Linked DNA regions of Oryzias latipes. The protein of the gene in region 2 purifies or fractionates together with the protein of the main gene of each other region. This does not show direct contact. Links are inferred from orthologs where the notes say so. Each region holds a gene or a part of one and is shown on either strand. Other genes may lie near its edges.

Evidence for each region. Proteins that work in one complex are often made in the same cells at the same time.
Region 1: the proteins of serine/threonine-protein phosphatase 2A 55 kDa regulatory subunit B alpha isoform (region 2) and cdca4 purify together in Homo sapiens (affinity purification with mass spectrometry; 4 studies listed by BioGRID and IntAct, with this or other methods). This does not show direct contact. The link is inferred for Oryzias latipes from reciprocal best matches to the Homo sapiens genes PPP2R2A and CDCA4.

What each region holds. Positions count from the first base shown.
Region 1 is NC_019880.2:21,571,736-21,576,705, forward strand, and holds the start of cdca4 (cell division cycle-associated protein 4), read right to left. Parts: upstream 3,155-4,970; 5' UTR 2,912-3,154; intron 523-2,911; exon of another isoform or gene 1-522. UniProt on the Homo sapiens protein: May participate in the regulation of cell proliferation through the E2F/RB pathway. May be involved in molecular regulation of hematopoietic stem cells and progenitor cell lineage commitment and differentiation.
Region 2 is NC_019870.2:24,066,319-24,070,547, reverse strand, and holds part of serine/threonine-protein phosphatase 2A 55 kDa regulatory subunit B alpha isoform, read left to right. Parts: intron 1-1,426; coding exon 1,427-1,524; intron 1,525-1,654; coding exon 1,655-1,820; intron 1,821-2,276; coding exon 2,277-2,389; intron 2,390-2,692; coding exon 2,693-2,870; intron 2,871-2,982; coding exon 2,983-3,147; intron 3,148-3,227; coding exon 3,228-3,397; intron 3,398-4,229. UniProt on the Homo sapiens protein: Substrate-recognition subunit of protein phosphatase 2A (PP2A) that plays a key role in cell cycle by controlling mitosis entry and exit. Involved in chromosome clustering during late mitosis by mediating dephosphorylation of MKI67.

The DNA.
Region 1 (4,970 bases), on a different chromosome or scaffold from region 2:
TTGTGATGTCCCCTACCTCCTCAAAAGGAAAAACCTCTGAAACGTGTACAGAAACAGGTCAGAGTTTACTGCACAAACAAGACACTTTTGGACATCCTAAATGGGGTTTTTCTGCAGCCAACACTTTGAAGTTCAGCATTTTGGGGTTAAATGTCAGACTGGTCCTGTTGAATAAAATAGAGCTTTTGCGTTTTTTTTGTTAAGGACTGAGCCGTGGCAGCAGGCGGTGTGTCTGTTCACATTCAGTCACCACACGTTTACCCCGTTTTAACCACAGTTTGCCGTTTTCTCAGTGATTTCACATTTAAAAGATCTAAAAAATATATATATGAATTTGATCCAAGGTTTTAGTAGACCTTGGATCAAATTTAGATTTTATGGGTAAAAAAAAAGATCTGAAATTCAAAGTGTTACTGACATAACTGACTTACAAATACAAAATGTTCAGTTCCTGTATTTATAAAAAAAAACTGGTTGTACAACTGACTGTATAAGAGAACTGGACCGAGCAGCCCCTCCCCCTCTGGCATTCCAAACAGGAAGTACCTGCTGGCTCCAAGAAGCCAAAATCCCACAGACTTCCAGAGGGAAACAGCTGTTACTCCGTCATACTATTGGTCAGAAGAACCGCTCTGGCTCTGATACCTTTTTTAAAAAAAATGTTCCTAATAATCCTCAATTTTTCTACATGATATTTTTTCCTTTGTTTAAGTTATTCAAATTATAAACTGACAGATAAGATTCCTCAGTGGCTACCCACATTCAGATTTCGTATGAATTCAAGTGGTAGGGGTGTAGCTTCCAACGAGCTGACTCCTGATTGGTGAGAGTGATTACTATAGAAACGTCGACTCAGACCGACCGATCACTGCTCACCGACAACATCTGGTTCCAACATGGTGATGTCTGTATTGCCAAAATTGACAGAATTGACTTTATTTGGCTATAAGAAAAGCGTTTTCTGTGGATGATGTCACACTCACTCAGTCCAGTTTTTGGAGGTCAATGGCTCGTCCTGAACGTGACAATGGTATATATATAATAATATATATATATATAATATATATATATAAGTATGAAATTCGGGCCTATCCACCAGTTTTTTTTTTCAATGAAAGCTGATTTGCTGTGGCGACCCCTAATGGGATGTGCCAAAAGGTGAACTAATGAAAATAGTTAGTCATCTCATTAAAGAAATGGACCTGGTGTAGCATGGGTGACACACGGGAGTTAGGCTTACCCAATTGGTTTTAAAGGGTCTATGTCCTTCTTTTCTAAAGCCTTTCAGAGTAAACTATATCCATATTTATTATCATATATTACCTTTGGGACACTATTTTCACAGCTTATTTTCCTACTAGGATGTAAGACGACTCGATCACAGAGGCTCCGCCTTTCTCTCCCTGTGGGTGCCACCCATTTTATGACATCATCCTAGTGCTGGCTTCAGCAGAGCGTCAAACATCTGAACTTTTCCAAAGATGGATGTTTATAAAAAAAATGAAATTGTTTAGCCGATCACCACTAGCTCCACTGAGAAAGTGGGTGTGTCTTTTAGCCTGGAGGCGGAGCTGGCAGCTCAGACTCTTCCTGGAAGGGGCGGGTCCTCACTTTGTGATGTCACAATGTGAGGACCCACTTGTTTTCATGGATTGGGAGGGGCCGGGGCTCAGAGATCCGGTTTTTAGAGGAATACTCAGAAATGAGTGACTGGATCAAAAAGCCACTTTAGGGATGTTTTTGTGAGGAATGAACATTAAAATACACTAAAAAGCATTCATTTGGCATGATATAAGCCCTTTAAATGGTGGGAAAATAAAACATTTAAATTAACAACACATTTGATAATTATAGTAATTGCCAAATAAATCGATTTGTTCTTAGTTTATTTCACTTCCTAGTAATGTAAAACAAAATGTGTCTAGACTTATGTTTTCAACGTTTACATTTATAACATGTCGACTGTTTTTAGAAGATTATTTGCTAATCAAGTTCTTCCCTTTGCACAAGAAGGTTCCAATAATGCGGTTGTATTGATTTTTACATTTGTTTGTCTGCTATAAATGCTCAATTGTTCTAAGTGGACGTGTATATATAATGAAACCTCCACATAAGGATGTAATCTTGTTTTTCATGATATATTATTGCACTTCGTCTTTTATTTAACCGGGAAATGCTGCCATGCGCCACACGGTGTGGAGACAGATGTGGACAGACACCCGGAAATGCCTCCTTTCACGTCCAGAAACGGAGAAAACGTGTCGTTTTTGGAGGTGATTTTCATGTAAACAGTGAAGACTTAGAGCTGGGGCCAAACAAAATGCAGCCGCGCTTTACGTCAATGGCTGCTACCGGGGCCCATCCCCCACCGCGGAGAGAAAAGGCAGCGGCACTTTTACAGCCCGCGCCGCCTAATCAATTAAAACCACCGTCCGCGCGCGCCCCACAAAGCGGTCGGTTCCCCTCCGTCAACCACGCTCTGGTACCGACCGCCAAGTACGGCGGTGGGAGTGGTGGGGTAAAGAGCCGCCGGCGACGCCGCCGCACGCTTTGTCTTCCAGCGGCCGACAATGAGGCCATTTTGCGCTGGCGGCTAACAGCTAGCCGGCTAGCCGCGGCGCTACTCTGAATGCGGTCTGTGGACTGGCGCCGGATAACCGTCCCCCAATGGTCACAAGCGGGCCTTTCGCGGCGGAATCGAACATATGGCATTTTCTCTGTCCCTGTTCGGTCCTCTTTATAACGTGTAAACTAGCGAGCGGTAAGCTAGTACGCTCCGAACGCCCACCCTCCCTCCCTCCGCGGTCCTTCCTCCTTTCTCAAAAACAGGAGTTTTCGCGGCGGCCGTGAACTAAACGTCCCCGACGGTCCCTGCGAGGCCCGGCTGTAAAAACACGGCGGCCGCACTCACCTCGTTTCTGCCTTATTTTACCTGTCTCGGTCATAGGATCGACGACAGGGAGAGCGGAGATCGGGTTCAGATGAGATCATTCATGCCACGGCTTCAAAACTGAAGCGGCTCCGTCCTGCTGCTGCGGAGCGGAGCGGAGGAAGGGAGGGGGAGGGGACCCAGCCAGCCATATGCCGGCCTGCGCCGCGCTCATCATCTGTCTGCCCCGCTCCGAAACACGCAAAAACACGCAATACGCGGCGGGACGGCGAAACACGTTCACTAAAACGACGAGGCGCACGCACGCCCAAGGGGCGCAAAACGACATTTGTGTAAAGAACGTTGGCAGAAGGATGAAAAGTGTTTAAAAGACGTGATCCATATGTGTATGTTTAAAAAACATTTGACACAATAACAACGTTCATGCTCTATTTTTTGTGATTTAAGAACATCTGTTACTAGGGGGAGTAGATTCACTTTAATAACGATTCGATTATTTGTGGTTGACAATATCAATATCGGTTCAGTTTGATCGATCCGATTCTCTGATCTAAAGTGGATCCAGATCATCTTCATCCAAACTTCCAGCAGTGAGACTCAGACAGACATTTCTGCGACTGAACAGTGAAGTTTTCCAGATTCTTGGATTTCTTCCAGATCATCAAGTTTAAATGAAATATGTGTCCATACAAACAAGTAAACTAGAATGAATGTCAAATCCATTTACATTCTAGTTTCCTAAAGTTCAGCCCACTCCCAGCCAGCAAGGCCAAGTGGGCCCTATATGATTTAAAAGTGGGCAGAAAATGTGGCCCCACCTGTGTTTGCCCACGTTGGCTTCAGTGGACAGCTCAGTTGCCCACCGGGCAACTGGCTAGTGTAGCAGAAGGGGAAGCGGCCGATGAGGCTGGCAGGACACCACAAACAGGAAAGGTCTTTGAACCCTACGCTCCGATCAAGATCGCTGATAGAAACCCCACGTTGTTCGATCCCACGGGACGTGGATTGCGTTCGGAGGGCAGCGGGTGTCAGGGCCTCTACTCATTGCGTCTCTTAAGGCCCGTACACACCGGGACGAATATTCGCCAGACGTTATTCGCCAGCGTTTTTCGCCACGTCTTTTGTGTTCACACCCAGGCGATTTTCGCTGACGATGAGCCGAGCAAACATGCAATTTCATTCCCTGACATTAGATGGCGCTTAATGTAAACAGAAATACTCCTGTACACAAGGTGGCGCTGCGCAGCTTCACTCTTCTTAAAGTCGCTTTTCATACAGAAGAAGAGAGCAAGTATTTACGCGCTTGTCAGAATAATACAAGGAAAACATGAATATTTCAAGCACCAGTTGCTCCAACTAGTGCTTGGTTCGGGGATATTTTAGAATGTCCGTCATTATTTCTTCGCGGCAGTGTAGACGCTACTTGGCGTCTATCTTCTTCGCTGGTATGTGTGCTTAGAAAGGCAGTTTTGTGTTTGAGTGCCCCCAAGTTGTGTTTTACTGTGACTTCAGAAGCTCCAGAGACGTGTGCAAAAGCGCCATTCTCATTGGTCGAATAGATTTCGACGCGACGCGTCAAACCAAAAAAACGAACCCAAGGCGTTTTTTAAAAAGTGACGCTTTGACGCGTGGCGTTTTTTCGCGTCGGTGTGCACACTCACATTGGTGCCCTTTGTTTAGTCACAAGGCGTTAAACGTCGGCGAATATCGCGCGCGAAATTCGTCCCGGTGTGAACAGGCATTTAGGAGCTGTCTGCGTTTGGCAGGAGATGAAGCTCCAGGTGGCTTTCTCTCTTGGTCCAAGCTGCAGCGACAGGGCGAGGATTTTTACCGCTGAGTGGAGAAGCGGCTACCAGGACTTTGTCAGACGTTGGAACTGACAGGACATGGAAGCGGTTGGAGAGGGTGAGGCCTTCACGGTCTGAGGCTTCCTTCCTTCTTGCAACCACAGCTCTGAACAGCAGTGGACGGTGTCCCAGTACCAATTTTTTTTTTTTGTACTCACGCAACCCTGTGGTTGCATTACATTCATTCACTCATTCACATCATTTCATTACATCTGTCACCTCTAACACATGTA
Region 2 (4,229 bases):
AGACCTTAAGTAGCAGCACAGAATGTAAAACCAAGAAACAAATGTCCAGATGTTCTCTGAATTCATTTCTAGTGGCAAAACTGAACATACAAGCATTGTTTTGTGGCTTTTTGTGTTGTGTTTAGAGAAGAGACACTTTCGTCATTTGACAAATATACCGGTAAACCAAAAAGCTACATATTGAAATTAAATCCTTTCAATGTTTTGTGTACGAAATCCATTCACTTCACATGTAATGATGGCTTTTACTGTCAGCAGCTGTGTGCTATTCATTGGATAAAATGTCGAAGGCCGTCTGCAGTTCAAATACTGAACCTGACTGTACAGGAGAACTGGACTGAGTCACTCCTCCCCCCTCACTGGTTCTTAGGAGCTAAAATCCCATAGATGTCTATAGAGAAATAAACAGCTGTTACTCAGTCATCCTATTGGTAACAATAACCACTCTTGCTTTGATACCTTTTTAATAAGTTCTTGTTATTCCTAATTAGGATATTTTTTGTTTATCACAAGTTCTTCAAGTTCTAAAACTGACCAGTCAGATGCCTCAATAAAAGTATGTGGTCTCATGTTAACTATTTAAAACATTTGACAGATTTTGTGCTGCCTGATTTCAAGTGGTAGGGGTGTGGACTTTCAACAAGCTCACTCCTGAATGGCAAGAGTTGTTGCCATAGAAACGATGACTCAGACTAAACGATACTTGCATGGTGGTGTCCGTATTGCGCCACTGAGTTGTCTTCATGTGATTGGAGCCAGAAGTAAGCCATTTTCTTTGGATGACGCCATGTACACTCCAGTTAGTCAATGTCTGAAACAGTTAAAAATAGGTCCAGACTCCAAGCTTTCTGTCTTGTTGCCTTCAAACATCTTAAGTCTAGTTGCTGTTTGTTTGTTTTTTTAAGTCCTGATGAATCCGTTTTTGTTGTCTTAAATCTATCACTGTTTTCTTGTGTTATAATCTATGTTCATCAATGCTCTGGGCTAAAGGGAAAGTATGCTCAGGCTTATGCCTTCACCTGACATGAAGACCATCAACAACATGCCAGTGTCCTCCAGCAGCACAACACACAACCCCCCCCCCATGTTGGACATTGTCTTTCTGCTCCAATGGGCAACAAAAGGTTGAGCCACTCCGCATCTGTATGGGATTGTGCTCCAGCACTTTAAGTATCGTTCAGCTGTGTGTGTGGGGAAGAGAGGATAATTGGATGTTAGTGGGGTTGGGGGGGGCGTGAAAAGGGAAAACTAGGTTACAGATCATTTTCTGTCTGGCCCACAAGCCGACAGAAATCCTGGAGGAGTTTGGATTAACATGCTGATTTGATTTGTACTTGTTACCAAAAAAGTAACAAATACTTTGAAAGTACTTTCAAATGAAAGACTAATCCATTTTCCTCCTGTCTGTCTTTCTTTTTTTTTTTAGCGGACATAATATCTACAGTTGAGTTTAACCATACAGGAGAGCTGCTGGCTACTGGAGACAAAGGAGGGCGGGTGGTGATTTTTCAGCAGGAAATAGAGGTACAGCTACATGTGTGCAACGGGCATCTGCTTTAGAGGAAAGCAATCTCCTCTTTTTGTTTTTAGGAAACAAGGGGAATAATTACATGATCTGAGGCTGAAGTTCATTTTTTTTTGTCAATTTCAACAGAATAAAAGCCTGCCTCAGTTCCGGAGTGAGTACAATGTTTACAGCACCTTCCAAAGCCACGAGCCAGAGTTCGACTACCTGAAGAGTTTGGAGATCGAAGAGAAAATCAACAAGATCCGCTGGCTTCCTCAGAAGAATGCTGCACAGTTTTTGTTGTCAACAAATGGTAAATCTGTCACTTATTGACTCCAAACAGCTGTGATTACATAGGGAGTTATACCCTTGGTACAAATAAGCTCACTCTGTTTTTTGGACTGTTAGTCACAGTATAAGAAGCACTTTTGGGAGAAATTTAAGAAAATGGGAACAAAGACAAACATTTTTCATCTTGAAAGGCAAATCATAACAATGCAATAGACAACAATAATAGACGGAACATCTGCACGCTTCACTACCGTAACACAATGGTGCTTATTTAGCTTCATGAAACATAGGAGGAATCGGCGATCTCAGAAGCAACAAATGGAAATTGTCTGAGTAGTTTGTCGGAAATATTAGCAGTGTCAATAAAAATTTTTTTTACATTTCTGAAAAACATATTGTCAATTTTAGAAAAAGTTTTCAACATGAGTCTCTTTCACACTGTTTGTAGATTAAAAAAGTTGTTTGTTTTTGATTTCAGATAAGACCATTAAGTTATGGAAAATCAGTGAACGAGACAAGAGACCTGATGGTTATAACCTGAAAGAAGATGATGGAAGATACAAAGATCCCAATTCCATCACATCACTGCGGGTGAGTCAAAGGCGTCAGAGACACCTGAATGAGAATTTAAGAAAGCCTTTGAGTCACGTTTGTGTTTACTGTTGGCACAAATCAGAGTAAACAAAACATTGGATTTTGGGTTTTAAAGTTTTTAGCTGCTTAACATAAGTGTGACCTCGCAAATTAAAAGAATGGTAAAAAATATATGCGCGAGTTTGGATCCATGTTTTAAAGAAAGTCCAGTGCGGATAAAGCTGCGTAACCAGTGTGTATGTGAGAATCTCTAGACCTCATTCTTTTTAATACATTTTAATTTTTTACTGTTTCATTCAGGTACCTGTTTTAATACCCATGGACCTGATGGTGGAAGCCAGCCCACGGAGGGTGTTTGCCAATGCTCACACCTACCACATCAACTCTGTTTCGGTGAACAGCGACCACGAGACCTACCTGTCTGCAGACGACCTGCGCGTCAACCTCTGGCACCTGGAGATTACCGACCGCAGCTTCAGTATCCTCAAACACGTGCTGGCACTTCCTGTCAAATCTTGTTAGTAGCGGTTTAAGCAGCATGGGTACAATCCAGGCGGTAGTTTTTGCTCTCCTTGACCGTTTCCTCTCAGATATTGTTGATATTAAGCCAGCCAACATGGAGGAGCTGACAGAAGTGATCACAGCAGCAGAATTCCATCCTCATCAGTGCAACACTTTCGTCTACAGCAGCAGCAAAGGCATCATCCGTCTGTGCGACATGAGGGAGTCAGCTCTGTGTGACAGGCACACCAAGCGTGAGCATCCATGATGGCAGATTTCATGTTTTCTGACTCCAGACCGTCAGAAAGTTCTGAATTTTTTTCTGCTTTCAAAGTGTTCGAGGAGCCAGAAGATCCGAGTAACCGCTCCTTCTTCTCTGAGATCATCTCCTCCATCTCAGACGTCAAGTTTAGTCATAGCGGACGCTACATGATGACCAGAGACTATTTGTCTGTGAAGATTTGGGACCTAAACATGGAAAACAGGCCGGTGGAGACCTATCAGGTGAGGAGTCTGAGTGAGATGGTTACATAAATGTGAACAGAGCTTCATAAGCTCTGATGATCAACACTGACAAAAGTAGTTTCAGTTTAGTCAGGACAACAGAGTATTAGCGCCACCGTAAAATAAAAAAATCAGAGAATAAAGTTGTACATTTATGAGGAAAAAAGTCAAATTTTCTGATAATAAACTTGTATAACCAGACATTTTATGTTTTAAATGGCATTACTTTTACCTTGTAAAATGGCAATTTTTTTGAAGAATACATTTTACCTTGGTAAAATTTTGACTTCTTCCCCTCAATATAGTGTGATGTTACTTGTAAAATGTTGGATTTCTCGTTTTTTATGGAGGCCCAAATACTTAGTCGTAATTCTGGTCATTTATGCACAACAATAAAACAAAACGGTCTTGTCATAATTTTAGTATTCCACCTCAGGAGCTCCTCCTTAAATTCACTTACAAATTCTCACATCGGTATGTCCGCTCATGTGTGAAGTATGATTGTTGTATGTAATTCCAGTGTTGAATTAAATACCATGATGGCCACTAGGAGACGCTGTTTTGAAGAAAGCACTGATGACTCCAGGCTTGTAAAGCTTCTTAGATTCTTTAAATTCATACATTTACAACAAACTCCGGTTGACTCAATGCTTGTTATTCCATAACAAAAAACAAAGATACAAAAATGTAAAAGTTTTTTTCCATCAACCAAAACCTGTTAGTCTGCACTGCGCTTCTTCACCTCAGAGATCAGTCACTCCGACTCCAGATATCGTCTGCATCCACAACAAAACCAAATCCAAACAACTGAAAGTTGATCGTTCAGGTGTGT